Schizosaccharomyces pombe: one gene and its partners. Each later gene encodes a partner of the first gene's protein in a complex. Each region holds a gene or a part of one and is shown in the gene's direction. Other genes may lie near its edges.

Region 1 (3,309 bases):
ACTGTTTACTGGAATAATATTTTGAGCGTTTTTATCTTACATAAATCATGACCCAGCCCTTCTATTAAAACGTGAGAGTAAACAATGCCACTTTGATATGATACGTTCTAGTTCTTTTCCCATAATAAACAGTCAAAAGAAGGTTTTAAAAAAAAATAAAGAAATCGTAAGCTCATGCAATGTCTTTTGCCTTATAAAGAAGGATGTAGGCACTGTCAGCTTCACCACCACCATCGAGAGTTTCAATTTTTTCAGCAGGAACGATAGATACCTTTGCGTCATTGAACCTGAACCATTCAGCACGATTATTGCTATTTCTTATCCAAGCTTGGTAATGGCCTGAAGATGCACTAGCACCGGCGTGTGATAAAACCCCGACTAAATCATAAAGGCCGGTGGGGTTGGCTCCTTCATCATCAGCGAGCTCAGGATCTACTAGTGATTGACACGTCGCAACCTGAGTAAGCCTGCACTCAGCTTCCGCCTCCTTCTCGTCCTCTGAAGGTTGAATTTTGATACGCTTAGCAGCTCGCTCATGTTCTTCATCATTTTTTTCAATTTCACGTAATTTGTCACGTACGGGAATCAATTTTTGTGAAAGTTCAGGAGTACAAAACTCGACTGCATCGAGCTCAAATGGAAACTTAACCTTACGAAGAATTTTAGCCTTTTTCCCTATTGATGCTTTCCAGTAAAATCGAACAAAATTAACAGTTAAATAATTGGGTAGTCGAGAAATCCTTGAGATTTTGCTATACATGGCATCACGATTTAATACATCACTATGCTTAGAAATTTTTTGCGTAAGCCCTTCAAGGATCCCCTGGGTCATATAGCTTGTATGCATAGAGATATGGCAAGGTAAACTCAAAAACGTATCATGTGAAATAGAGGGTTGCTCCTGTACTTCGTTTTCATCACATTTCATAGTAGATAAAAGTTTTCCAGCCATATTTTTTTGTACCCACTCAGATGATAGGGAGCGCTGTAAAACTGATAGCAAGAATGACCAGCATTCCTCAGCATCCTGTTGAGCATAACCCCCAGTTTCTCTACTCATTTCTGCAAACTGTGGATACTCCATGCGTAGACTTTGAAGAAACCTCATTGGTGTAACCGGAGCATTAGATTGCATAGAATTTAATAACGTCCGATATTCTGCCACCAAACCCCCAGAGGAATTGAATTGTGAGACAGCGTCTGATAATTCTGGAATGGCACGCAGCATTTGAACTGTAGAATTCATGTAACACGTGTTGCCTAAGTTTATAAGCCCTGACGGATAGCCATCATCTTCAGATTCCTCTTGTTCTACTGACTCGACAGCTGGAATGGGCATAGCTGTTGGTAGTTCGCCTGCAGTACCCATCATTAATAAAGTTGCATTTGGTTTAATACCAACTGAACCAAGCAAAACATCGTCTTTAAGCTGGCCACCTTTGACAATCACTTTCTGTCGTTCCGGAGGAACTTGTGTCAACGAGTATAGTTGATGTTTCAAGGTGCTTCCTGTTTCATTAGGTTCAATCTCTAAGTCGTACTTCTTCCCTTGCCAACGAATTGCTATGGGAATCATCATAAATGGTTTTTGTAATTAATGAAAGAAATACTTGTTTAAGCCCAATATAATTTTTTTTGTAATTCTTTGCAAATTATACTTATTATATATGTTGCTGGTACTTGGTGAAGGCCATACAGTAACGAGCTATATACTCATTTTCGGTAACACCACGCAGCGTGCGTGGTTGTGCCGCTAAACTCGTTAAGCAATATCACACTGACACTACGTGTTAGCACAAAACCAAACCCGGAGACTGACTCCATAGATTCTAATTATGGTAAGAGAGGAATTCTTTTGTTATAAAAAGATATGATTTATTAACGAAGGCATAGTCTAATACCTTAAGACCTTATTTAAACGCAGTTCGTTCTACTCTGACTGCTTCTTTAGCATTAGAGGAATTCTCATCAGAAATTGTAGAACGCCAGAGTCAGCCGGAAGTTGAGGTTGGACGGTCTCCTGAAATTCTACTAAAGCCCCTGGTGGTCTCTCGTAATGAGCAAGAACAGTGTTTGATTGAGAGCTCTGTTAATAGGTATGTCTTAGGCATCCGATGTTTCCGATTCGAACTGGTACATTCACTGATCTTTCGATTTGGAATAACGGAGTTTTGAAAGTCATTCTCATTATTTGGATTTTTTTTACTGATGCATTTATGAAATTAGTGTTCGTTTCAGCATTCGTATTAAACAAGTCGATGAAATTGAACGAATTCTTGTGCGCAAATTTATGCAGTTTTTAATGGGTCGTGCAGAATCTTTCTTTATTTTGCGCCGCAAACCTGTTCAGGTACGTTATTACAAATTGTAATTGGCAAAAAAGTGTTCAAGGGAAGAATTTCTAGAGATTTTGCGTTAGTTTAAGTGTTCACTGTTCTGCCTCAGCCATTGTATAGTTCTTCTTTTTTTTCTTTTTCGAAGTTGCCATTGCTATTTGTAAATATCATCAAACTAACCTTTCTTTGTTATAGGGCTATGATATTTCCTTTCTTATAACTAATTACCATACTGAGGAAATGCTTAAGCACAAATTAGTTGATTTCATTATTGAGTTTATGGAGGAAGTTGACGCTGAAATTAGTGAGATGAAACTTTTCTTGAACGGAAGAGCTCGTCTTGTTGCTGAAACTTATCTGAGTTGTTTTTAGATTCATGTTTACGTTTTGGACCCTATCGATGATTTTATCAATTTATACATAAATAAATGAGCACCAAATACTTCTTCCGAATAAAATTCCTATCTCTTCTATTCTGTATTGAGTACAATAAACATATCAAGGCAGTTTTACATTCGATAATCCTTCATATCTACAATCTCGCCTTTTGACTTTTAGCATCCTTACAAGATATAACGAAAGTATACGATATGTTGTTACTTATATTAGGGAGCTGTTTCGTAGTTTATTTGATCATTTGACGACTGTAAACAAACTACAATCAACAACATTTTTGCTTTTTAATGATTCTGCCAGAATAAGTAGTTTCTATATAATTTTATGCACTTGCGCTAGTTGGTGGATAATTTTAATAAATACATGCATCCGCAGTTACGTTATGTCTGAACGAGATTTTAATACGCAATCTCCCAAATTTAAAGATGAAAACGCGAATTCTGTGATCAGCCAATCTGATTTTTTGGGGAAATCACTCAAAAATAATAACGATGATTATTCTGATTTCCGTGGTTCGTACCTTAATGATAAATCATCTTTCCAGACGCCTTTGCGCAACGGCTCTTATCAACCAAAA
Region 2 (7,534 bases), 910 kb from region 1:
GTCAGAACAATGCACCCATCGATATTGTTTCTGCTTTTCAATCCTATGGTGAATTTATCACAGGAAAAATTGATGAGCCAACCCGTCATGACATTATTCGTCATGCATGTCCTGGAGGTGGTGCTTGTGGTGGTATGTATACTGCAAATACAATGGCTAGCTGTGCCGAAGCTATGGGTATGACATTACCCGGTTCTTCTTCTTACCTTGCTGGCTCACCTGAGAAGTTTGCAGAATGCGAAGCTGCAGGTAGTGCTATAAAGCGACTTTTGGTTGACGACATTAAACCTCGCGACATCATGACACGTTCTGCTTTTGAAAATGCTATGGTCTTGACGATGACTCTTGGTGGCTCTACCAACTCTGTTCTTCATTTGATCGCAATTGCTAAGTCTGTTGGTATCACTTTAACTTTGGATGATTTCCAAGCCGTCAGTAACCGTACACCGTTTATTGCCGATATGAAGCCTAGCGGGAAGTACGTTATGGAAGATTTGTTCGCTATCGGAGGTATTCCTTCAGTACTTAAATATCTCCATGCTGAAGGTCTCATCGATGGTTCTAATATTACCGTTACTGGTAAAACTCTCGCTGAGAACCTACGAGGATTCAAGGACCTTGCCGAAGGTCAAAAGATCATTAGACCTTTGAGCAACCCCATCAAGACCGAGGGTCATTTACGTGTCCTCCGTGGTTCTTTAGCCCCTGAAGGTTCTGTCGCAAAGATTACTGGCAAAGAGGGCTTGAACTTCACCGGCAAAGCTCGTGTTTTTGATGCCGAAAACGATTTTATTGCTGCCTTAGAGCGTGGTGAGTTCAAGAAGGGCGAGAAGACTGTCGTCATTATTCGTTTTGAGGGACCAAAAGGTGGACCTGGTATGCCGGAAATGTTAAAGCCTTCAAGTGCTATTATGGGAGCTGGTCTTGGAAAGGATGTTGCACTTTTGACTGACGGTCGTTTCAGTGGTGGCTCTCACGGATTTTTGATTGGACACGTTGATCCCGAAGCACAAGTTGGAGGCCCTATTGCTCTTGTTCAGGACGGCGATGTCATTGAAATCAATGCTGTAAAGAACACTTTAGATTTGATGGTTGATGAGAAGGAGATGGCGAGACGCCGCAGTGTTTGGAAGGCACCTCCTTTGAAGTACCAACAAGGAACCCTTTTAAAATATGCTCGCAACGTTAGCACTGCCTCCAAGGGTGCTGTTACAGATTCCTTAGAGTAAAGCATATTCAATGCTTTTATAAGCGCGCATAGTATTTTGGAAACTTAGACGTTTAATGTTTTGGTAGTAAAGGTTGATTAATAAGCTTTTAATGCTGATTCCATAATCTCATCTAGAGTTTATTTGAATAATTTTGAATGAATAATTACTTTTTGGAGTACAGTGAAATGCATCGAGTTTAAAATGGGTTGTTATTCAAACTCCTGCATTTCTATTTTATTATTAAACATAATTGGTATCTGTAAATGTGAAAGGGAGCCATAACTTTCTGCTGACAATAAAGCAAGACTTTGACAGTTAGTTAGATAGAAATTTATTTACAGAAAAAATTTAAATTGATACTTTTTTATTCTATGTGCGTTGTGAAACGGTATCAATGCGTTGTTTAAACAACTGTAGTAGAAGTTTTGAATCCAAAGAATGACGAGGCTGGTTAAAGAAGCTTTCATAGACAGGGGTTACCGATTTATTATTTTGTAAAAAGCATTTAAGAAAGAATTCTTGAATAATAGGGCGTGCGAGATCGACGGACTCAGTACCATCGTAAGTTACATGAAAAAGTATACCCTTCCAAACGGACTTTTGTAAAACGTTGGCAATAGCCACTTTAAAGCTCCCTACTTCATATATTGAACCTTCAATAGTAAAGGACTGCCGAAAATTCCATAATTTCGTTCGCACAATGATGTCCTCAAGTTCAGGTTCTGCATCAATCATTGTCGCTTCATCCACACACGCCAGCATGCTGGGATTAATGTTTTGCTTCAAAAATTCTAAAGTTTTTGGAGTGACAGCATTTCTGTAAAGTTTATACTGAACTACCCATTTTTCTGAAATTCAAAGTTAGATCTTGAAATCATCAATCATAAGAAATAAAATCCAAACCAGTGTCAGCTTACTTAAATGTTGTGCAAAGTAGGTCCTAACCAGATTATCCTGTGCTGGAGAAAGGAACGTCGCCATTGAAGGCGATGAATAATAAATAACTCTATAATCAATCAGCAAAATAGTCAATCGGTATGCTTTTTACCCGTGAACAGGCATATTTTATAACAAAGATGAATGGTAATTAATTATGCATCTGAATATCGGTTTATACCGAATTATTGAGAAAAATGGCCGAATTAGTTCTTTTACTTCTACTGTAATGTTGATGTGAAGAGTTTAATGCGTACGGCGGTTGCAAGAATTGCTAACAGGCTAATTTAAAACCTTCATTTTCATTGTTCCTGTATTAAAAAAAAAAAGCAGATAGACATAATATGAGCTCAAATTTTATTAATTTATCTCTTGTCATTTTTATTATTTTCCAAGTCGCAAAGTATATGGCTTTTGGGTATGATAATCCCAGAGCAAATTGTTAAAAGCTTGAAGAGAATTAAGTTAACTGAATTACATTCATAATTAACTTCTGGAGAGTCAAATACTACGTAACAATGTAACTGGCTGGTTTGAGCACTAATTAAAAATCTGTTAATCCCAGGATGTTACATATGTGTCTCTTCGTTTTACTTTGAACTTTACACAAGAAACTACATAGTTCTGTCAGCAAAATAAGTCTTAAAAGTTATTGTTCGAATAGAAGTATAAACTCATACATCAATATACATACTGAAAATAGATAGAAGCAAAAAAAAAATTACTTTTAATCTTTATTCAACTAATTACTAGGCTGTATCTAACATATTTTCTTCTGAATCACCATAGGCAGAAATGTAAAATATGTAACCAATTTCTGTCTACAAGTTATTCAGAACTTTACATCTAAGACCAAAGGTAGAGATGATTATTTACAAATAAAAAAAAATAAACATCCACAAAAGAGGTCTATGGAGTACTGAAGAAGTTAGTAATGCTGTTACCAGACTTATATAGCTCCGCTCAAAAATTATAAGTTAAAGTTATAAGATTAAAAAAATATAAATATATTTTTTTGAATTTTCTTAACTTATTGGTTAAATTAATATACTCTATGAATTATAATAACTTCAGTTACAGACTTGCGTTCGACCGTTGTATGATGCCTCTTTAGAGCTACACACAGCTGAAACTTAACCTGTTCCATCGTTTTCTTTACCTTACCAGTTATAGAGTTATAAAATGACGTTTCGGACTTTGGATGTCGACTCCATCACAGAACCTGTTTTAACAGAGCAAGATATATTTCCAATTCGTAACGAAACGGCGGAGCAAGTCCAAGCAGCCGTCTCTCAACTCATTCCTCAAGCCCGGTCTGCCATTCAAACGTATGTTTATTTAAAAGAAGCAATTTTTTTATTAATTAAAATAGAGGAAATGCCTTACAAGGTTTGAAAACCTTACTCTCATATGTTCCTTATGGAAATGATGTTCAAGAAGTTAGGGTATGTGCAAACTGTACAAACTGCTTAAAGACGGTTTATATCAATTACGTTTTTATTTATTGATTAAATTTACAATTCTTCTTGATTTCATTTTATTATGGTGTAAATGAATTTTAACTTTTTTAGACTCAATATTTGAATGCTTTTGTTGATGTATTAAGCAATATACGAGCTGCTGACATTCCCGCATTTGTAAAAGAATGTTCAACGGAGGAAATTGATAATATTGTAAACTTCATTTATCGTGGATTGGCGAATCCTCAAGCCTACAACTCGTCTGTATTACTTAATTGGCACGAAAAGGTAACTTTTAGTTTATTGCTTTTCCCAACGCTCTAGCATTGCTTATCTCATGCTTTACATTTTTATTCGGTCACTAATACGGTTTTGTAGGTGGTGGAAATATCCGGTATAGGATGTATAGTTCGTGTTCTCAATAGTAGACCCGATCTATAAATATGGCTTTATCTTACTTTTTGGTATCTACTATTCTGTCGCTTATGGAACTGAATCAATGATTCTGTTTTATGTCTTCTTTCCCACATAATGACTCTTTTTATCCTTTAAATTGAGCTAGAATTTTCTAAATGGTTAGTAAGTATGTTCCATTTTAAAAAATAAAGTGCAATCGATTTACGCCTTTGCTGAAAAGATAATAAATCTAGTTTATTCAATATTAGCTTACTCTTTGAATACTTCGAACATGTTCTGGCTGTACTCTTCTTTCCCCAGTCTTAGCCGCTTCAATATTGGCTTCTTTTAGTAAGGATTGTAAGAAAAGACAGTAATCCAAATATACCTTGAAAATTCTGTTAGTTGAAAACATTCAATATAAAAAATTTGAATATCTTTATTAGAATAGCGCGTCCAAAAAGATACTGACTGAGAAATAGCTAGTTTCATTTATAACTTTCCATACCAAATCCAATGCGGAACTTTCAAGGCTGCGCTGGCAATGCTGACGAAAAAATCGTCTTATGCGTGCTTTAGGATAGCTCATAGTAAGTAGTTTCTTGCAAAAAAAAATATTAATCCCGTTTAGTTTTGTAAAATTAGAGAGTAATCATATCTTGCAAGGATAGCTCTGTATAGAAAGTGATAATCGTTGTGTCGTCTTCGAAGAAGGTAAAGTGCGAGTCCTTTTGAGTCATTAGTTCGAAGGATTCTACAAAGGTGCTATTGCAAATCAATTTTTTATAAATTTAATGTCATATTATTAATTGAAATTTTCTTAGTAAAAGTAATTATTACGTACAAAGATTAAAGCACTGACATTGCAAATTATGTGTCTTTGTTGTCAAAACAAGTTGGAATATTATATCAATTAGCAGCAATCTTAAGCATGAAAGCTTTTAAATACTTTGAGTTCATTTGTAAGCATGTATTTACTCGCTACTACTTTAAGAAAAGAAAAACTTTTTACTAGTATTTAAAAATTTGGTTGCTGGTTTGTTTTGCTTGCTCTGATTACACACGTATATCTGAATCTGTTATTTTATTCTTATTTAAACTGTGATTGTATGCATATTATGAACCTCTAAATTGCCTTCATTTGGAATATTGAGCAAAATACTTGGCAAGTATGGCGACTAAAAGAAAACCAAATTAATATTTACCGAGTTTCTTTGCTATATTTCCTGGAAGTTAGTCGCTTGTGATTCCGAATTATTGCTTTCCGCGACCTACATAAAATTCTGCTTTTAAACGAGTCCTTCACCACTACCTTGTTATAAAGAATACTAAGATCCGCTGTTAGGCACTAGAAGATTTTTACTTTAACTTCTCAAATTCGACAAATTAGAAAAAAAATTTTTTTAAAAACTTGACAGACAGTCTCAATAGAGGTAGTAATATACGTTTTCGTTACTACCTTACTTACCAGCTCCTTCAAGCGATTCATTTCCGAAACAATCATTTACACGCCAACTTACTATTGACTTTAATATCGAATTATCTTGTTAATTCTGCTTCTTATAATGGGTGATCCAACAAATAATAATGATAGTGAAACTAAACCAAATCCTGCTACGTACTGGAAAAGCAGATTTCCTGTTGCTCGTATAAAAAAGATTATGCAAGCAGACCAGGACGTTGGAAAGGTCGCTCAAGTTACTCCGGTTATTATGTCGAAAGCGTTGGAATTGTTCATGCAGAGTATAATTCAAGAATCGTGCAAACAGACGCGATTGCACCAAGCAAAGCGTGTTACCGTTTCTCATTTAAAGCATGCTGTTCAAAGTGTTGAACAGTTTGATTTTCTTCAAGACATTGTTGAAAAAGTACCGGATGCTCCGCCCATTAAAGCCGAAAGAAAGACAAAACGCCCCCGTGCTCGTCGAGCAGCTAATGAAGGTGAGCATAATGAAAGTGTTCCCGCTAAAAAAGTTAAAAAGAATACTGTTAAAGAAGAGGAAATTGAAAAAGATGACGAATCAGCTACCACAGAAACTCCTGTCAAAGAAGAACCTACTGGTGAGGAAACTGAAGCAGATCACGAGGAGAAAGCCTCTGTTGATCATGGTAATTTTTCTGACAAGACAACTAGTGAAGCCTCTTCCGCGTCTGGTGATGAGTAGCTACTTTCTCCACCCTATATGACCATAAATATAATGTCTTTGTATACTTTATTCTTGTTTTGCTATTACATTTATTCTTATCTTCCCTTTTTTCTTGAATTTGTTTTCAGAAAATATTCTCAAGCTACTTGTACATAGGACTATAAAATTGGCACATTAATTCTAGTATTTTTAAGCCTTTTCTTCGACTTAAGAATATAATACGTTCTGGTTGTTCATATTGAGCTTTTTTAAAGTGCCTTATTAATGTACTATGAAAGACCAACTTGGCGTCTACTGATTTTATTTGCCAAAATGATGCTATTGACAATTCTACGAACCTATCACTTACTCGTACACCCTTTTGTTTATAATTAAGCATTTATTTATACATACTTTGTTGTTAGTATTTAAATTCAAATAATGATATTTTTATAGTCTAAGATTTTATAAAACTATATGCAATGCAAAAGTATAAACGTACTTCTTTGAGTAAAAAAGAAAGTATTTGGTTTTGTATTTCCAATGGATGATATAAGAGGGCATGATGAATGCTTGAAGTGCTTTCAAAATTGAAAATGAAGGGAGAACTTGATCGTTGTAAAAAATAAACATAAAACACTAGTCGATAATGTCATAAATATACTACAAATAATTGAGCCTGTCTATAACTCCAATAAACGTCTCCCAAAATAATGAAACATCAGCTTCCAAAACAACATGAACATTAGCCGGATACTGATTTTGTTGCGACCATACATCACAGACAGTGCGACCAAGAGTGAGAGAATCTAAGCTTACAGTCACATACATAGAACGCGAGGTCCACAGAGATGGCCACAGCGCCAAAGCAACAGCACAAACGTCATGAACGGGAACACCGTTTCGAATTCCGTAGACATTTTCATAAGTTTGTTGAAAGACAGTCATCAATTCTACCAGTGTGGAACTAAATGGGTTGCTATGTTGACGCAGTAACTGAATAATGTTTGCATCTAAAAGTACTTTATGAGTGACATCTAGCGGCACCATAAATAGTTTGCCGATAAGTGATTTAGTCTCTAAAACGAGCCTAGCTGCCTCAGGATCAGCATACACGTTGAATTCTGCTTGAGAAGTAATATTTCCAATGCCTGTGCTACCACCCATAAATATAAACCTTTCTATGTTGTCGGTAACGCTTGGGTACGTTGCCAATAACAATGCAATGTTTGTCAAAGGACCGGTAGCTACGAGAGTGACAGGCTCTGGATAATTAGAAATAGTGGTATACATAGCGAACACCGCATCAGGAGTAGCCTTCTTTTTGGGATAATCAGGAAGCAATGAAATCCCTGCAAGCCCATTCGTACCATGTATGTGAGTAGCGAACGCGGACTCGCGCATC
Region 3 (8,203 bases), on another chromosome or scaffold:
ATACGTACTGTCAGTATACATGTGAGCGAAGTCAGTTGTAAAATAAGGCGGAAATGGAAGCGGATTATGTGATAATATCATGTTATTAAGGAATTTAAATTTGAATAGGAGATAAAGATTAATATGATTTTTTGTAATTTTTTTGGGCATCTTTGTGGATTTTCTTTGGAGATACGTTTTAATGAATGTGATGCTGAGTTAAGTAGCTTATGAGCTGCTGCTTAAACACTCGTTCATGATTATTCGATCATTAGTCTTTACTGTCTGGATTCCTTCTTAGCAAATTGTTTCCATTCTTATTTACACTGATTATTTCGTTGCTGATCGTGGTATGATCTGTATTCTGTTTATCCGCTACCTTCAAAATCGGGTCCTTTTAACTTTGGTCACAATCATATGAAACCTTGACTAACGGTTATTAGATTATAATGTCAACCCCCTTCAACCGTGTGCAAAGACCCAAACGCCATGTCTTCAATTGCTTAGTACAGAATGAGCCTGGTGTTTTATCCCGTCTTTCTGGTATTTTGGCCGCTCGTGGATTTAACATTGATTCCTTGGTTGTTTGCGCAACTGAGGTAGAGAATCTTTCTAGGATGACGATTGTTCTTCGAGGGTATGTAAAGTAATTGATCCAATTATAATTGTCACTGACCTTTTTTACTTTCCTTCTAATTTTTATTAACATTTTTTTAGAGCTGATGAAGTCGTTGAGCAGGCAAAACGTCAGATTGAAGATATCGTATCTGTTTGGGCAGTCTTGGATTACACCGGTACCAGCATGGTCGAGCGTGAGCTTCTTCTTGCAAAAGTTTCGCTTTTGGGCCCTGATCACTTCCAAGAGCATTTTGAGAGAAGTGAGAAAGTTGCCGAGTCTACCAATGCTAAAGCTAAAAGTGATGGTGAGGGTGTCATGAATGCGAATGCTGCTTTACAACTTCGTGCCAGTCAATTGGCTGCTATCAATCAACTTACTACTCTCTTTCATGGTCGTGTAGCTGATATTTCTACGGAGACTATTATTCTTGAGTTGACTGCTACTCCTGATCGTGTTGATAACTTTCTTTCTTTGTTGCGTCCCTATGGTGTCTTGGAAGCATGCCGTACTGGTACATCTGCGATGACTCGCGCACCCCATTCTAACGAAGTTACTGAAGAAGCTGAGGACGATGTTGAAGTTGAAGAGGTTTTCCTTCCTCCTGGATAAACCAAAAAAAAATCGCATTCTTCGCTTCTACTTTGATGCTTTAAGCATTTTTTCCCATTGTACAAATATATTCACTTTGTGTTTTGTACATCCAAAGAGCGGTTGTACTTTTTGCGTAAAAATTTTAGTTATTTTTTTGAGATTTTTGTATAGGAATCTACGAATATACATCGAAATTTATTTGGTTAGATGAAATTTGTTGCTATGTTGTCTTTATTTAAACAGCTGTAGGTAACATATAAACGATAACATTGTTTTGCATTACTTTTTATTATTAAAAAAGACTATGATTTCATCCTTTTTATAAAAGTCATTAGCTTGTTGAATAGCTTGATTTCAGTGTAATTACACTGTTGGCATGGATGGTATTTTAAGGTGTTAAGATAGCTGGCTAACTTAACACCGTTGGATTTCGTAAATATTTTAGACAGAGCCTTTGATTGCCTCTCTTCTGTAGATGGCATTTAATAAGGATGAATAACTCCATGTCAAATCTCTTGCACCTTTTTGGTGACCATCGTCACGCGAAAATTGTTCAGACATTGAACCATTTGGATGTTGGAACTCAGCAACAGCTTTTAAAAAGTTATCAGCATATGTGTGCATGTTTTTCCTGATAACGGACCAGTTGTATGGATCTCCAAACTCAGCAAATTTCATAAAGAAATGGATGTTATATTCAGTCAATTCTGGTAAACCTTTATTATCGTAGTATGCGATTGCTTTGTAGATAATCTCGGCAGCGCTGCTTGTGCAAATGAACCAAGGGTTACCAATAGACTTAGAGACACCATCGTATACATCCTCGGGATAGCGTCCCATTGCTTGCTTCCATCCCTGATTGACGGGATAATCTCTGGTCATGGTTTCTTGCAACTTCAACAAGGTTGGAAGGATGTGCATATCAAACTCATTTGAGTAAAGGCTTGCAAGCAAAGTGGAGCAATCAAGTCCTGAGCGATCGACTCTGCCTTTATAACCCTTAATAACACCCATTCCAGGATCCCAGAACTCTCCCAGTTTTAGATCAATAGGCTCGATCGTGCGTTGGTAGAGTGCGGCTTGGTCAGGTGCTCCAATTCTCTTTGCAAAAGCTGTACCATCTTGCATGGCACGCTTCTGAACGGCTAGAGTAAAGTAATGAACGTCCTTAATTTCTTCCCAAAGATCAAAGCTTGCCTCTGTCCAGTGATTTGCAGTATAATCCAAGTCGGCTAATACAGCCTCAATCCAGACAGTAACTTCATGGACCTCTTTACCATTTTCAAATAAATAATTCATGTATTTGATAAATGCAATAGCCCGAAGAGCAGGGGAATCATTCTGGGGACGTCCCCAATCTCCGTCATAGCTTGTCCCATCAACATTAAATTTAGGCTCACCAAGACCTCCGGCGTAAAAGTCTCCACTTGGGTTCGGGACCTTTTGGAGCCTGACCATTTCATCCATATATTTGACGATAATCGGCTCAAGTCCTTTGTCCCCTTCAAAGAAACGATCTAAAATAGTCATGATCGTCAATGCACTATCACGAACCCATTGATAATAGTAATCAGGGGAATCAGTTGAAGGGGAAGCAATAATACATCCAGGATTAATATCCTTAGCATGCATACCGCTGTCACCGATATTGTTCAGCATATGTCCCATAGCAATACCCTTTTGCTGATCCGTCCATTCATCCATAGAAGCTTCCTTGCTTCTTTTATTAGGGGAAAGTAAGCTTTCTGCAGATACGACCCCCCCAAGGAGTAAGAATAACCAGTATGTACGCATGTTGGAATTTAAAAGTATTGTAAAATTGGGTAGACTATACAAATATTGATGGCAATCGTGTTTAATTATATAGGCAAACGAATAAAAATATGCGCTTTAGTTAAAATTTAACTGGAATATTTGCTCTATATATGTCTTTTGCTTTGTTTATTAGTAAACAAAAACAGAGGGAATTACCATCAAAATCGATCATCATGCTGCGACACGAATGGACAAAACTAGACTATATAAGTTAGTAAATAAACAGAGTAAATGAATGTGATTGATCCTTTTTGGCTTATACTGAAAATTTGGCGAAGCAAGGATTACCAAAGAAAATGTATTTATTGTTTGTTTATTTTCAACACTTGCTTATAAAGTTTGATTCTATAGTATTCAGATCTATGATAATATGGAAGTGTGCATTCACCAATTACTTAAATAGCGACAAAATTTGTTGAATTGGAAAAAATCGACAGCACAGCTTTTAATATCAAATACGCTACTGAGTCTGAGTATAAGCAACAAGTGTGATCTTTTTAAATAATCATCGTTAAAAAGCACAAAATATAACTGTGATAATGGACAAGATGTCGCTGTCAAATTCTGAAGCAACGTTTCAGTTACTCCAGCAATCATTAAAACACATCTCTTTGTTGTAAAGGAGAATTATTGTATTATGCTCTTCGCCCTATTATTTATTCATTAATAAGAAAAATACTCAGAGAGCATCGTTCACTCACGATTGTCAAGACATTAAGATCTATTGTTCTTCCACAATCAACGCAAATAGAAATCTTGTATCCACCTCATATTTTAAAAATAAAAAATCTCTAAAAGATATGCAAGAAAATCAAATTTTATTTAATGGAATTTTTTTTAGTCTTAATTGAGTTGTAATATTTACAAACCTTTAAAATGTAAACAAAGGAGTTACCGATACCATCGATATGCGTTATCGTATATAAAGTACTCTAACGTTTTTTGTTAATGTATCTACTGCTCTCGTCATCACCAATATCGATTCAGCCTTGGATATCGTCTATCATCCGCAAAACAGTAGACTGCTAGTCCTGTTACTGAAAAATGGCTACCTCTCAAGTTTTACACATTCTTCCTAAACCCTCTTACGAACACGCGTTCAATAGTCAAAGAACAGGTACAGTATAGGACCTAAATAAGTAGATTTTAACAAATTTGATATAGAGTTTGTCACCACAACTGCTACGAACCAAGTTGAACTTTACGAGCAAGATGGAAATGGGTGGAAGCATGCCCGAACATTTAGCGATCACGATAAGATTGTAACTTGTGTCGATTGGGCTCCGAAATCCAATCGAATCGTAACTTGCTCTCAAGACCGTAATGCCTATGTTTATGAGAAACGTCCTGATGGGACTTGGAAGCAGACCCTCGTCTTACTTCGTTTGAATCGTGCCGCTACGTTTGTTCGTTGGTCGCCTAACGAGGACAAGTTTGCTGTTGGTAGTGGTGCTCGTGTCATTTCTGTTTGCTACTTTGAACAAGAAAATGACTGGTGGGTCAGCAAACATCTGAAACGTCCGCTTCGTAGTACCATTTTGTCTTTGGACTGGCATCCTAATAACGTTTTATTAGCTGCCGGCTGTGCAGACCGTAAGGCATACGTTTTATCTGCTTATGTTCGTGATGTCGATGCCAAACCAGAAGCCAGCGTTTGGGGTTCACGTTTACCTTTCAACACTGTTTGCGCTGAATACCCATCTGGTGGTTGGGTTCACGCCGTTGGATTTTCACCTTCGGGTAATGCCTTAGCGTATGCTGGCCATGATTCTTCTGTTACGATTGCATATCCCAGTGCTCCCGAGCAACCCCCACGAGCTCTAATTACTGTCAAATTATCTCAATTGCCTTTGCGTTCTCTTCTTTGGGCGAATGAGAGTGCCATTGTGGCTGCTGGCTATAACTATTCTCCTATTCTTTTGCAAGGCAATGAGTCCGGTTGGGCCCATACTCGCGATTTGGATGCCGGAACTTCCAAGACCTCATTCACTCACACAGGAAATACTGGTGAAGGTAGAGAGGAAGAGGGTCCTGTTTCATTTACTGCTCTTCGTAGCACATTCCGTAACATGGATTTGAAGGGCTCCAGCCAGTCTATTTCGTCTTTACCAACCGTTCATCAAAATATGATTGCAACCCTTCGACCTTACGCTGGGACTCCTGGCAATATTACTGCGTTTACCTCCAGCGGTACCGACGGACGTGTTGTTTTGTGGACTCTTTAGAAAAGATATCGGCAAATGAATCTTATCAAATCAATTATCGAATTTCCGTAGATGTTAATCTCATAGAATAAAAGAATTGAACAAGCTTTAGCTAGATATAGTAACTGTTATTCCGCAGCTTATATGATTACTATGTCGTCTTATAAATTTTTGTCAATCATATTCAGTTTTGTGTATATATTTTTTCTTAGAGACCCCAAAATTGAGAAGTGCTTTTGCTACGTAAGTTTACTTATACCACCACTTGAGACTGAACCACGGGTATGCGTTCTTACGAATAATCATTAGATATAACTTAGATTAAAGTGTTTATTAATTGTATAGTTAGTAAAATTAGTAAAGATCAACCTGAAAAGTTTAAACACCAAGTTGGATAAATAATATTGTTCAAATTTATGTAATCCAAACAACGAAATTGAAAGGATGTTCTAATTTGATCCTTTCGGCAAAATTTGAAAACCGTAACGCGTGAAATAAAAATATAATGAATAGAAAAAAAGAATGAGAAAGAAATGATAGTACTATCTTCTGTCAAAAAATCGTTTTAAGGTACCAATGTCTCCAACAGCTGTAATGACATCCATTTCTGGAACAAGCAAACTAATGATTCGGTCCTGAGGCTTTCCGTTACGCTGCTTCGTGCGCAAACGAATGATTGCAAGAGTTTCTAAAGAATTCGCGACATCGCAAAATTCCGAACTTGTTAATGGATAAATCAAACGATCTCGAAGACACAAAGAACTGTATTTTTCAAATACATCGGCAACACTCAATGAGGTTTTTTCACAAACAACAAGCGTACAAAGGATGGCTTTCTGTTGAAGACCAAGGTTTTTTAAACGAGCACTAGCAGATTGGCTCATAGCAGATGTCGCTCGGACAACATGAGCAATTGATGCTCTTGGTATATCAACAGAAGATAATGTGTTGTCATGTTGAGCTTTCCATTCTCTTTCCGCAAGTTCAATTGCATGCCTACATATGTCTAATGCTTTTCTCAAGTCACCACTTGAAGCTGCAACTTTCCGGGCACATAATTCAATTGCAGCAGGATGTATAAAAGGTGTTTCATCAGCATGCTGAGATACAACATTTATACTATCATCGCTTACTTCAGAGATTGATTTAATAGGAGTAAAAGGATTGTTTTTTTCTGATGTGGTAGCGGCGGTTTTCAAACGCGCTTTTATAATTGTTGAGATTTCTTGAGCAGTATAAGGCGTAAAAGAGAGTAATTTGGGAGTAATATGCTTTGTTCGTAAACGAGGGAGAAATCGATCTGTCATGTCTAAGGCATTTGCAATGCCTACCAAAATTAATCTCGAAGTCGGTCGAGAGGGCCATTCAAAAAGCGTGTACAGAACCTGCTGTTCGCGAGCAATCAAGTGATCCATTTCATCTAAAACAATAATGACTGGGTTATATAATTCATTGGCGGACTGGGTGAAATGCGACTCTAGTTCACATTGGAAATTGATGTGATGATCTTCATTTTCTAAAATTTCCTCTTTAACAATTTTAGAGTGAATTTTTTCAAAAATTGCTTTTGGTTCATTAATAGTCATACAATTAATGTAACAAACATTAACTTTGGGATAATCGCTCACTACATGATCCAGCACGTTGTGAAGCAGAACGGTCTTTCCTGTGCCAGGGGCACCACTTACGTACAATGCACCTCCAGCATTAGCATCAAGATGTTGACGAAAGAAAGATTCCACAATTGACTTCTCATTTTCACGACCCACGACTCCTGCTGAACGATATGATTTACGTAAACTCAATTTGGCAGTAGAATTATAGGACGGAGTGGAGGGTGTCGAAGGAGTGGGAGGAAAAAGTTGACGGTGAGGTGTCGATTGCAAAAGGCGAGTAGCAAATGGAACAGGATTACATGTACGATTTAATGATTTGGGTGTAACAATTTGAATGGTCCTTTTGGGGGTTTTAGGAGTTTGAGGTGTTGTGGGTAATTTAGGTTTCTTATTCTCCTTTAACTGAGCAGGAAAATTAGGATAAAGGTCAGTTTTCTCCTCTTGCAGTTCTCCTAGTTCATATTTTATTCTTTTTGTGGGTGTTTGGAAATGTGAGCTAGCCAGCGTACGTTTTCTGCTGGGTGTAGTCGGAATCTCTATTGAAAAGGAAGGTGAATGCTCCCTTTGATTAGTTTTGTTAGTACAGTCAATCAAGGCTGCAGAATCTATAAAACGATTGCATCTTCGAGGTGTATGACAACCTATTGGAGTTTCACACATATCGATACTTTATAGTAACCCCGTTTACTAATTATGTTATTTACCAATAGACAAGTCAGGTAAATTTGATAAAAGGGCTACTAAGTAATATTAACTTCGTGCTTGGTGTTTAAGTTTTGTTTAAGAGCAGATATGTCTTTTATAAATATACGCGACGCGACACGTAAACGCGAAATCTAATTAATCACGAAGAGTAAATGAGATGTCGCGTTCAACTCTACGTGTCGTGTCGCGTTCTACGCGCGAACCTTTTTACTCTATAAGTTTATATTCAGGTAATGATATTATTTTATAACGACTCATCCTCAAAGATATGAAATGCCTTCTCATATTCCAATTTAGTTACGACGTTAGTAAAATTAAAGTAAAAGACCCTAAATTCTTTTAATAAATTAGAAAATCTTTTTTCAATTATCCCTAAAGATAACAGAGGTCCCACGAACGAATTTTTGATGGACCATACCATCTTTGGTGCTAATGGCCAATAAAGCAAACAGCATTTCGATTAAAGAAAAGTAAACCTCTTACAATGTTCACTAAAATTGAATTTCATAGCAAAGTTTCCTCTAGTTTAGAATGCAAGTGAACACTTTAAGCTAGTTTAACAAAAGGAAGATGAGAATTTTGGTAATTATCCAAAAGAATAAACTAAACATAAACCCCAAATTACATGCCCAATCCCTTTTTTGTTCCTTTGTGTAAAACACCGTGCATATATT
Region 4 (8,698 bases), 1.5 Mb from region 1:
AAACAAACTGTTACATGATGGCACAACATGTTTTTAGACGAGGAAAACAATTCGTAGCAATTTCTTCAACAATTTTTTCAGGCTCAACTTGATCAGTCAAAGTTGAATGTTGAGGACGAGAATATGCTTCTTGAGGTTCTTGAATGCAATTGAAATTTGGTTGAATAGGTGAAGTCGCAGATGGTAAATAAACATAAATGCGGCCTTCATTTACTTCACTGTTGTATTTTATAGATTGCTGCTCAAGCATTCGCACAATTGCAGGTCGTAGTTTTTCCACATGATTAGCACTGTGATTACCGCGCCCAACTATACTAAAAAAGAGTTAATTTTAATTAAGCGTAAAACATACATATGTAAATGATTGTCACCACGTCGGATGCAATTCTCAATTCGCTGTTGTACTGCTTGTACAGCTTCATCGATGTACAGACCATGTAAATCAATTTCATCGGGATTGCATTGAGAGTTTTTATATAAATAAATGGCTGAAGCCGCTATCAATAATTAGCACAGTCATAAAACACTTCTATTTTGTTTTCTCGAAGCCAATATGGGTTTGAAGAAACCCAGTGTTTTAAGTTCTATAAAGAAGCCAACCCATTTTTCTCTTAAATCACATGGCTTTATTCAGCTGTTTCAGAGCTCTTCACTTTGTACAAAGAATAGTTCATTGTCATAACTACTATTGTTTGGCGTATTGTCTGACCGATAACTACCGGAATTAGATACCAAACAAAAAGAGTGGAAAAGAAAGAAAGAAAAATCTCATGATGGGTTTGTTTTTCTATTATTGAAAGTTTATAGGGTTTGAACTAACAATCACAGCTTTTAATGAGAATTTGAGATTACCTTGTCGATTATAATTTTCCATACGCTCTCCACATAACTTTCCTTCTTGGCTTAGTTCATGCGCTTTAGCCTTGTTTCCTGCTGAATAGGCATGCTGAGCTTCTTGAAATAAATACCCTCGTTTTTCAGCCTCTTTTGACGCCAACGCTCTAAACTTTTCATACTTCAATAAAGTTAGTTACACCTAATTTCTCCTTATCTCTTTGATTAATAATTACCTCCTCCATTTCTATTGTTTCAGGTGTGGTACTAGACAATGAAGTTAACAATAGGAAATCTGAACAATGGAGTACCACAAAAAATGTTATATAATTCAGCTAGATCTCTGACAAAGATGAAAAATAATTTTTAAGAACTGTCTAAACAATAGTAAATCCTTTTGTTTTTTGTTTCGAATCTGTTTAAACTACAATTTTGCAATTGTTCGAACAGCATTCCATTGGTGTGTTTTGAGTCCATATATTTGGAAATTTGCTGTATATCTTCAAGCGAAAATTTAACTTTTGAGACATAGAAGTGTTTTCTGGAAATTCTAAACAAAGAGGAATTATTGGCATAACAGTTCATTGGGAAACTGAGTCATCAAGTGCTTTACAAATCACATTTTTAAACTTCTTAAACTAAAAAAATCTCGGGTTTATATTGTTCTTGCTCCCTCTGACATTATGAGACAACCATGGTGGAAAGACTTTACTATTCCCGATGCATCCGCAATTATTCACCAAAATATTACCATTGTCTCTATTGTAGGAGAGATTGAAGTGCCAGTTTCAACAATTGATGCATATGAAAGAGATAGACTTTTAACTGGAATGACTTTGTCTGCCCAACTTGCTTTAGGAGTCCTTACCATTTTGATGGTTTGTCTATTGTCATCATCCGAAAAACGAAAACACCCAGTTTTTGTTTTTAATTCGGCAAGTATTGTTGCAATGTGTCTTCGGGCCATTTTGAATATAGTGACCATATGCAGCAATAGCTACAGTATCCTGGTTAATTACGGGTTTATCTTAAACATGGTTCATATGTATGTCCATGTGTTTAATATTTTAATTTTGTTGCTTGCACCGGTCATCATTTTTACTGCTGAGATGAGCATGATGATTCAAGTTCGTATAATTTGTGCACATGATAGAAAGACACAAAGGATAATGACTGTTATTAGTGCCTGCTTAACTGTTTTGGTTCTCGCATTTTGGATTACTAACATGTGTCAACAGATTCAGTATCTGTTATGGTTAACTCCACTTAGCAGCAAGACCATTGTTGGATACTCTTGGCCCTACTTTATTGCTAAAATACTTTTTGCTTTTAGCATTATTTTTCACAGTGGTGTTTTTTCATACAAACTCTTTCGTGCCATATTAATACGGAAAAAAATTGGGCAATTTCCATTTGGTCCGATGCAGTGTATTTTAGTTATTAGCTGCCAATGTCTTATTGTTCCAGCTACCTTTACTATAATAGATAGTTTTATCCATACGTATGATGGCTTTAGCTCTATGACTCAATGTCTGCTAATCATTTCTCTTCCTCTTTCGAGTTTATGGGCGTCTAGTACAGCTCTGAAATTGCAAAGCATGAAAACTTCATCTGCGCAAGGAGAAACCACCGAGGTTTCGATTAGAGTTGATAGAACGTTTGATATCAAACATACTCCCAGTGACGATTATTCGATTTCTGATGAATCTGAAACTAAAAAGTGGACGTAACTTACGCCTGAATGTATCTTTTTTGATAATTCCTAATACTGGCTCAATAACAGTCCCAAATAACATAGACGGTTTTTTTACGATAGGCTTGTAATCATAATTTGCTCAGAGGGAAGTTTTCTAATGGTTTTTTTTTTTTCGCTTCATGAACAATTGTTTACTATAAACATCAATGAAATTATATGATTATAATAACTTATTATCATGAAAACTTCAAGTCGTACTTCACAAACACTTATTAAAACAATAGTGAATGAACTGCCTTCGTAATCTATAATGAACTATAATGTTTTGAGTCTCCAAGTGCTTACCTTACGAACTTTTTTTTTTATTTAAAGCTTCTTGTACCGTAGAAGCCATATCATTCATCGAAGAAGCTAATTCCTTTCTAAGCATCGTTTGCTTTTGTACTTTGGCCGATTGCATTAGCAGTTCTTCCAGACGTGATTTAAACGTTTCCACTATATACACGTAAGTATTGAGCTATTAAATAAAAATTATAACCAACCTGCTGACAATAAAATGTATTTATCCTCCATTTATTTTTATCAAATATTGTATCGAAATGTTTTAGCTGCGAAACGTTACACTCCTTAATTTAGTAATAGCAATATAATAAGGATCTTTAAACCGATATGTGTTATTCTCAAATTGCATTGCTCCACTTATTTCAGTAAACAGATGACAAATATTCAATAATGGTATATGTCGATAATTATAATTCTTTTGTTTAAGTCTTGTATTCAATTTAATGCACACATCTAGTTACTAGAGAAATAAATTCTTTATTAAATCGGTTCCGCGATTCTTCATTTTTGCACAGCGCTCCTAGTCATACCAATCTCATAATAAACGATCGAAGTGTTACCTGCACATTAAACAAACAAATAGAGTCCGTGTTTTTCTTTTAAATAATAGTAATACTATGTGAAACGAAGAATCTTTTAACTAATAAGCGATAATATACATTACTGCCGAACAATTATAAATGCACAGTTATGGCTTTGAGTATAAGGGGTAACGATACTAATGCTAAGTACAATAGAAGATAAGATCATTAACCGTAAAAACCTTTGAGCTATTCTTTTTGCAGCCAATTGTTAAATTAATTTAGATACTTCATTTCTGTTTTATAATTCTCAAGATTACTGCACTTCGCTTTCCTACGATATTACATATTTACGATATATCACCGAATGCTCTGCTACAGTTGCAGTGCTGCTGTGTCATACGGTATATGGCAGATAGTTACCGCCGGTACATTACATAGGGGTGGACTTAAGAACTAACCTTTCACCAACTACACGAGACGTTTATAAAATGGAGTCTGCTCCCATTGTTCTAGATAATGGAACTGGTTTTGTGAAGGTAATCAGTTTAATTAAATCTTTGTTTACACTGTGACTAACGTTAGCAAGGTCGGATATGCTAAAGACAATTTTCCGCGCTTTCAATTCCCATCCATCGTAGGAAGGCCCATTTTACGTGCTGAAGAGAAAACAGGAAATGTTCAAATTAAAGATGTTATGGTCGGTGATGAAGCTGAGGCGGTGAGATCTTTACTTCAAGTAAAATATCCCATGGAAAATGGCATTATCCGTGATTTTGAAGAGATGAATCAACTTTGGGATTACACTTTCTTTGAAAAACTAAAAATTGATCCGAGGGGTAGGAAAATTTTGTTGACCGAGCCCCCTATGAATCCTGTTGCTAACCGCGAAAAAATGTGTGAGACAATGTTTGAACGGTATGGTTTTGGTGGTGTTTATGTCGCCATTCAGGCCGTTCTCTCTTTATACGCACAGGGATTAAGCAGTGGTGTAGTTGTTGATTCTGGTGACGGTGTAACCCATATTGTGCCTGTCTATGAAAGTGTTGTTTTAAATCATTTAGTTGGTCGCCTTGACGTTGCCGGTAGGGATGCTACCCGCTATTTGATTAGCTTACTTCTTCGTAAGGGTTATGCTTTCAATCGTACAGCAGACTTTGAAACTGTTCGCGAGATGAAAGAAAAACTTTGTTACGTTAGTTATGATTTGGAATTGGACCATAAGCTTAGCGAAGAAACTACCGTTTTAATGCGTAATTACACCCTTCCTGATGGAAGAGTTATTAAAGTTGGTTCTGAGCGTTATGAATGTCCAGAATGTCTATTTCAACCTCATCTGGTTGGTAGTGAACAACCAGGTTTGAGTGAATTTATTTTTGACACTATCCAAGCAGCTGATGTGGACATTCGCAAGTATTTGTATCGCGCCATTGTTCTCTCAGGTGGTAGCAGTATGTATGCCGGTCTTCCTTCACGTCTTGAAAAGGAAATAAAACAGTTATGGTTTGAGCGTGTTCTTCATGGAGATCCCGCACGTTTGCCTAACTTTAAGGTTAAGATTGAAGACGCTCCTCGTCGCCGTCATGCCGTGTTTATCGGCGGCGCCGTATTGGCAGATATCATGGCTCAAAACGATCACATGTGGGTGTCCAAGGCAGAATGGGAGGAGTATGGAGTACGTGCACTAGACAAATTGGGTCCTAGAACTACTTAGAGTATATTTATGTTTAATGTTCTGTTTCTTTCTTTTTATGTGCTAGTAAATTGAGTTATACGAAGTTTGATTCATAAATTTCAAACTTTGCTAAATGATTACGTTTTCTGTTTAATCCGACCATCGTTAAAAGACGGTACGATTCCTTCTTTTATTTGCCTTTTTGATTCCTTTTTCTTTTGATGGGCTATTTACTTATGCTTGATGTTTATACAACCTTTTTGTAACCAACGATCTTATTTACTCAATATGCACTAGTACACTTCAATAGCAACAGACTTAATGACTAGACTCCCGTGACGTATATATTTGGTTTCGCCCATTTAGGGCGTTTTCTTATTAGGTCCTAGTTTTAACAAAAATAGCTTGACATTCTGAGCTTCTAGTTTTCTGAAGATTGACATCCACGGAAAACATGAGTAACATTTAAAAGCAGGAATTTCTATTATTGTAAATAAATAAATTACCGACCTAATTTTTTTGTTAAATTGTATATATAAACCATTAATAATGTGTCCAAGACAGCCTAGAAAAATTAATGCTCTTAATTAAGCACGACAGCATAAGAGGAGTAGAAATTGCCGCACAAATCGACTGAAATTTCTCATAACGGTGTAAGAGGAATTCATTAGGAAACAAAACGACGGAACATTGAAACAACCTTAAATAAATAAGAACAAATATAAAAGTGTAGTTTACGAAGACAAAATGCCTCGTGAAACCGACAGATGAAAAACAACGTGAAACCGAAAATATGTGAATAAAAAATGAACAACATAGAACAACAGTAATGAAAATGAAAATATAAAAACAAAGAACAAAAGCAAAGAATAAAAAAGGAGAAACGACTGGAGTAAATAAGAGAAGAATCCAGAAGAAGTAATTTAAAGTTGCTTCCATTGTTCAATTATTCGAAGAGCTGTTTGAAGTTCCTCAGCTACAGCAACAACATTTTTCCGCTGGAACGCCTGCATCCACTGTCGTTCATAATAAGCATCTTCCACGTCATCGTTTTCGAGTAAATAAACATGCTTCAAGTTAAGATAAACGCCAAGTAAATGTATCTGATAAATATCAGTTACAAAATATGGGTACTTCACAACTTGGGACACCACGTAGTCAAATAAAAGTTTGGCTTGATCGTCGATAGTAGAGGAATCGGGAAAAGATGGAGGCTGCCAAAAGTGCAATGTATATTTAAGTTTATAATTATCATAAAATGAAACAGGCAAATTGTGATCTTTGGATAGAAATATCAGTATATCAGCTGAAGTTTTTTTATGCTGCTTAATATCTGCTAATTCAAATAGCAAAGAAGAAGACGCATCAGGGGCAAAGGCGACAACTGCACCACTTAACTCAAGATATCGTGAATCCGATAATACCCGAGTGGAGACAAGGTACTTATCCGGAATTGGTCGAATCTTTTTGAGTGCAAGTTGACATTCATCGTCGGCATATTCAGCATAATTGATGGGGAAAGAACGAACTTTGAACTTTTTAGCCTCGTCAAAAGGAACAACAGAGTCCATGACATGATTAAACAGATGAAATGTGAACCTTGCAGGAGTGGCAGCATTCAAAACTGCAAAGTACAAAGGATTAAATAAGTCGCTGCCATTATTAAAAGTTGGAAGAGAATCGTGAGCATTATTAGAAAGGGGAAAACATATATCAGAAAGGACATTAATATTACGTTCTTTCAAGTACCAGTTTTGGCCCATTAAAGTAAGAAAATTATCAGAGGCGGCAAAGCATGGGCGGTTGATCAAAACAACATTGCGAATACCTCCTAACTGAGCATCCATGGTGTAATAAAAATTACGTTTTAAAGCTGACAAATGACGATGATAAATAGGATATTCGGTTTTCAGCTTTTTCATAGTAGTGTTCGAATAGAAGATTAAAGGACGAAGTAGAAGAATGAGGCTTCCAAATAAGAATAGTCGAAGACACCATCCGCCGATACCATTACCAGCAAAAATCCGTAATGGAAGGCCCATATCAATTGGATGTGAGCATAAACAGAATAAGAAAAATCAAATATGAATTAAAAGAAAGAAAAGAAGAAAAAACCAAGTATTCTTGAACCGATACTCACTATTCTATTTTAACAAGTGTGATAACAGTTTTGGAACCAGTGTGAAAACTAAATAAAGAGGAAAAAATTTTTTTAAAACCCTTCAATACAAATAATCGACACACAAACGGAAACGAGGATAAGAAAATGAGTCAAAGGGGGAAACCATATAAAAGTGTAAAGATGATACCAATGACTTCTCTGGGCAGGAAGAAGAAGGAACGAATGAAAGTAGCAAATGTCTAACCAAAACAAAAATTAAACGAGAGAAATTAGAAAGTTAGAAGATTTCCTTTTATTTGTATTATGAGCCGTGGGAGTAAAAAAAGCAACGGCAAATGAAGAAAAAAAAAATTAAATTAAGAAGATGATTAACGAAAAAAGACGAATTTTCAGTAGAGAAAATATATAAGAAATACCTTACTTTGTTGAGTTTTAATCGGACTTCGGTCTCACGAAATCACGACAGGCTAGGAAGAAAATTTGAAGAGTGGGGCTCAGAGCATTTATACTTGGAAGATGCGAAATGAGTAGTTAAAAAAAGACTTGACCAAATTTTATAGTTCCCTTGACCGTTAAATCTTTTCCCAATATTCTATACAATATATGGGAGGGTTGATGTACAGAGGATGAGTTTGAATTCACTGGTATGACCAAAGTATGCGGCAATCAAGGACTAAGGCTGGAAAGAGAAGTAACGCACAATCTAACCTTAAAGTAACGAAAAACAAGGATGCAAAGGAGCTTAATGAGTGGTAACGAGACTTTTTCAATCTGATATTTAAAGATTTAGGAAGCAAATGCAAAGAGAAAGAAGAAAGGAGGTGCAGATTAAACAGTGAAAGTGAGAAGGTACGAACAAAAAGAAAAAGAAATTTGAACGCGTGCGTACACAAGAGAAAGAAAGAATGAAGCGAAAAAAATAGAAAGAGAGACACGCAAAGACGGAAAAAGGGAGAGAGAGAAAAATAAAGGACAATCTTGTTTAAACACGAGGACGCGCTTTTTAAACTAATGAATCGACAATAATATAAAAGAAAAAGCTATACGTGAAGAAACTCGCGTTTGTTCTTTAAAAATAGCGCAACCAACAGCGAAAATGAAAAGTTAGCTGAACAGTAGATTTGACAAGCAGAGGGAAAGAAGAAAAGAAATAGAGTAAAAGGAAAGTTACGGATGCCTGCTGAAACGCGGATTATATGCTATGTGCCGGTTTGAAATAAGAAGCAAATCCTCTTCGTTCAAATGTTTTCATCTTTGGTTTCCCATGACTAAATCATTGTTTAAAGTTTATGATAATGTATGATTGGTTGTTCCGTAGTTATGAGTCAAGCAAACTTCGTACGATAACGTTTTCGTCAATACTACTCAAGCAACATGTTAGCTAGGGGTAATTTGGCCAGTATTTACCGAAACGCTGATTAGTAAATGTTCAAAACGAACACCGTCCGTATTTGCAGAATGGAATATGGCTTGGAGTGACCCCCATTCAGTACTGCTGGGGTATCTCC

Evidence for each region.
Region 2: the proteins of arc4 (region 1) and arc5 are in contact, whole or in part, in a crystal structure (PDB 3DWL), measured with the Schizosaccharomyces pombe proteins. Residues at the interface, in NP_594116.1 of Schizosaccharomyces pombe: Thr4 (codon at 1,900), Pro7 (codon at 1,909), Tyr8 (codon at 1,912), Asn10 (codon at 1,918), Ala11 (codon at 1,921), Ser14 (codon at 1,930), Thr15 (codon at 1,933), Ala18 (codon at 1,942), Ser19 (codon at 1,945), Leu48 (codon at 2,032), Lys49 (codon at 2,035), Leu51 (codon at 2,041), Val52 (codon at 2,044), Val53 (codon at 2,047), Ser54 (codon at 2,050), Arg55 (codon at 2,053), Gln60 (codon at 2,068), Ser65 (codon at 2,083); in NP_593727.1 of Schizosaccharomyces pombe: Asn109 (codon at 3,824), Tyr112 (codon at 3,833), Leu115 (codon at 3,842), Ala116 (codon at 3,845), Ser124 (codon at 3,869), Leu127 (codon at 3,878), His130 (codon at 3,887), Glu131 (codon at 3,890), Val134 (codon at 3,989), Ile139 (codon at 4,004), Ile142 (codon at 4,013), Val143 (codon at 4,016), Val145 (codon at 4,022), Leu146 (codon at 4,025), Asn147 (codon at 4,028), Ser148 (codon at 4,031).
Region 3: the proteins of arc4 (region 1) and arc1 are in contact, whole or in part, in a crystal structure (PDB 3DWL), measured with the Schizosaccharomyces pombe proteins. Residues at the interface, in NP_594116.1 of Schizosaccharomyces pombe: Ala21 (codon at 1,951), Leu22 (codon at 1,954), Glu23 (codon at 1,957), Glu24 (codon at 1,960), Phe25 (codon at 1,963), Ser26 (codon at 1,966), Ser27 (codon at 1,969), Glu28 (codon at 1,972), Ile29 (codon at 1,975), Val30 (codon at 1,978), Glu31 (codon at 1,981), Arg32 (codon at 1,984), Gln33 (codon at 1,987), Ser34 (codon at 1,990), Glu45 (codon at 2,023), Ile46 (codon at 2,026), Leu48 (codon at 2,032), Ser66 (codon at 2,086), Val67 (codon at 2,089), Tyr121 (codon at 2,562), Thr123 (codon at 2,568), Glu124 (codon at 2,571), Met126 (codon at 2,577), Leu127 (codon at 2,580), Lys128 (codon at 2,583), His129 (codon at 2,586); in NP_595909.1 of Schizosaccharomyces pombe: Pro13 (codon at 4,085), Ile57 (codon at 4,264), Gln75 (codon at 4,318), Arg77 (codon at 4,324), Arg101 (codon at 4,396), Ala102 (codon at 4,399), Gly120 (codon at 4,453), Ser147 (codon at 4,534), Thr148 (codon at 4,537), Leu150 (codon at 4,543), Ala166 (codon at 4,591), Trp207 (codon at 4,714), His225 (codon at 4,768), Tyr270 (codon at 4,903), Asn271 (codon at 4,906), Tyr272 (codon at 4,909), Ser338 (codon at 5,107), Leu339 (codon at 5,110), Gln344 (codon at 5,125), Asn345 (codon at 5,128), Thr368 (codon at 5,197), Asp369 (codon at 5,200).
Region 4: the proteins of arc4 (region 1) and arp2 are in contact, whole or in part, in a cryo-EM structure (PDB 6W18), measured with the Schizosaccharomyces pombe proteins. Residues at the interface, in NP_594116.1 of Schizosaccharomyces pombe: Glu31 (codon at 1,981), Arg32 (codon at 1,984), Gln33 (codon at 1,987), Pro36 (codon at 1,996), Glu39 (codon at 2,005), Val40 (codon at 2,008), Gly41 (codon at 2,011), Ala98 (codon at 2,312), Glu99 (codon at 2,315), Phe102 (codon at 2,324), Ile103 (codon at 2,327), Leu104 (codon at 2,330), Arg105 (codon at 2,333), Arg106 (codon at 2,336), Lys107 (codon at 2,339), Leu117 (codon at 2,550), Thr119 (codon at 2,556); in NP_001342919.1 of Schizosaccharomyces pombe: Tyr218 (codon at 4,586), Leu225 (codon at 4,607), Leu229 (codon at 4,619), Ser230 (codon at 4,622), Glu231 (codon at 4,625), Glu232 (codon at 4,628), Thr233 (codon at 4,631), Thr234 (codon at 4,634), Val235 (codon at 4,637), Met237 (codon at 4,643), Ala307 (codon at 4,853), Gly308 (codon at 4,856), Pro310 (codon at 4,862), Ser311 (codon at 4,865).

The regions. Positions count from the first base shown.
Region 1 is NC_003424.3:3,257,971-3,261,279, reverse strand, and holds arc4 (ARP2/3 actin-organizing complex subunit Arc4), read left to right. Parts: upstream 1-1,795; 5' UTR 1,796-1,835; coding exon 1,836-1,838; intron 1,839-1,892; exon of another isoform or gene 1,893-1,893; coding exon 1,894-2,096; exon of another isoform or gene 2,097-2,226; coding exon 2,227-2,350; exon of another isoform or gene 2,351-2,531; coding exon 2,532-2,708; 3' UTR 2,709-2,809; downstream 2,810-3,309. Other genes in the region: ubiquitin hydrolase Ubp6, read right to left, coding at 173-1,579; gamma tubulin complex linker, pericentrin/kendrin Pcp1, read left to right, coding at 3,115-3,309.
Region 2 is NC_003424.3:2,345,066-2,352,599, reverse strand, and holds arc5 (ARP2/3 actin-organizing complex subunit Arc5), read left to right. Parts: upstream 1-3,275; 5' UTR 3,276-3,329; coding exon 3,330-3,475; exon of another isoform or gene 3,476-3,519; coding exon 3,520-3,592; exon of another isoform or gene 3,593-3,632; intron 3,633-3,718; coding exon 3,719-3,895; intron 3,896-3,985; coding exon 3,986-4,048; 3' UTR 4,049-4,148; coding exon of another isoform or gene 4,149-4,175; 3' UTR 4,176-4,277; downstream 4,278-7,534. Other genes in the region: ilv3 (dihydroxy-acid dehydratase), read left to right, coding at 1-1,229; mediator complex subunit Med20, read right to left, coding at 1,581-2,059, 2,129-2,217, 2,260-2,273; CENP-W family protein Wip1, read right to left, coding at 4,149-4,175, 4,278-4,391, 4,512-4,592; negative cofactor 2 complex subunit Bur6, read left to right, coding at 5,569-6,168; urh2 (uridine ribohydrolase), read right to left, coding at 6,793-7,534.
Region 3 is NC_003423.3:2,210,390-2,218,592, forward strand, and holds arc1 (ARP2/3 actin-organizing complex WD repeat subunit Sop2), read left to right. Parts: upstream 1-4,008; 5' UTR 4,009-4,048; coding exon 4,049-4,121; exon of another isoform or gene 4,122-4,168; coding exon 4,169-5,229; 3' UTR 5,230-5,428; downstream 5,429-8,203. Other genes in the region: acetolactate synthase regulatory subunit Ilv6, read left to right, coding at 423-616, 697-1,207; meu17 (glucan-alpha-1,4-glucosidase), read right to left, coding at 1,631-2,983; cdc18 (MCM loader), read right to left, coding at 5,751-7,484; protein tam10, read right to left, coding at 8,151-8,203. UniProt on the Schizosaccharomyces pombe protein: Functions as a component of the Arp2/3 complex which is involved in regulation of actin polymerization and together with an activating nucleation-promoting factor (NPF) mediates the formation of branched actin networks.
Region 4 is NC_003424.3:4,779,171-4,787,868, forward strand, and holds arp2 (ARP2/3 actin-organizing complex actin-related protein subunit Arp2), read left to right. Parts: upstream 1-3,851; 5' UTR 3,852-3,884; coding exon 3,885-3,932; intron 3,933-3,956; exon of another isoform or gene 3,957-3,982; coding exon 3,983-5,107; 3' UTR 5,108-5,595; downstream 5,596-8,698. Other genes in the region: SPOM_SPAC11H11.03C (uncharacterized protein), read right to left, coding at 11-314, 353-497, 853-1,015, 1,071-1,079; pheromone p-factor receptor Mam2, read left to right, coding at 1,518-2,564; protein Fta6, read right to left, coding at 2,877-3,025, 3,073-3,103; Golgi 4,6-pyruvylated galactose (PvGal) residue biosynthesis protein Pvg5, read right to left, coding at 5,992-7,110.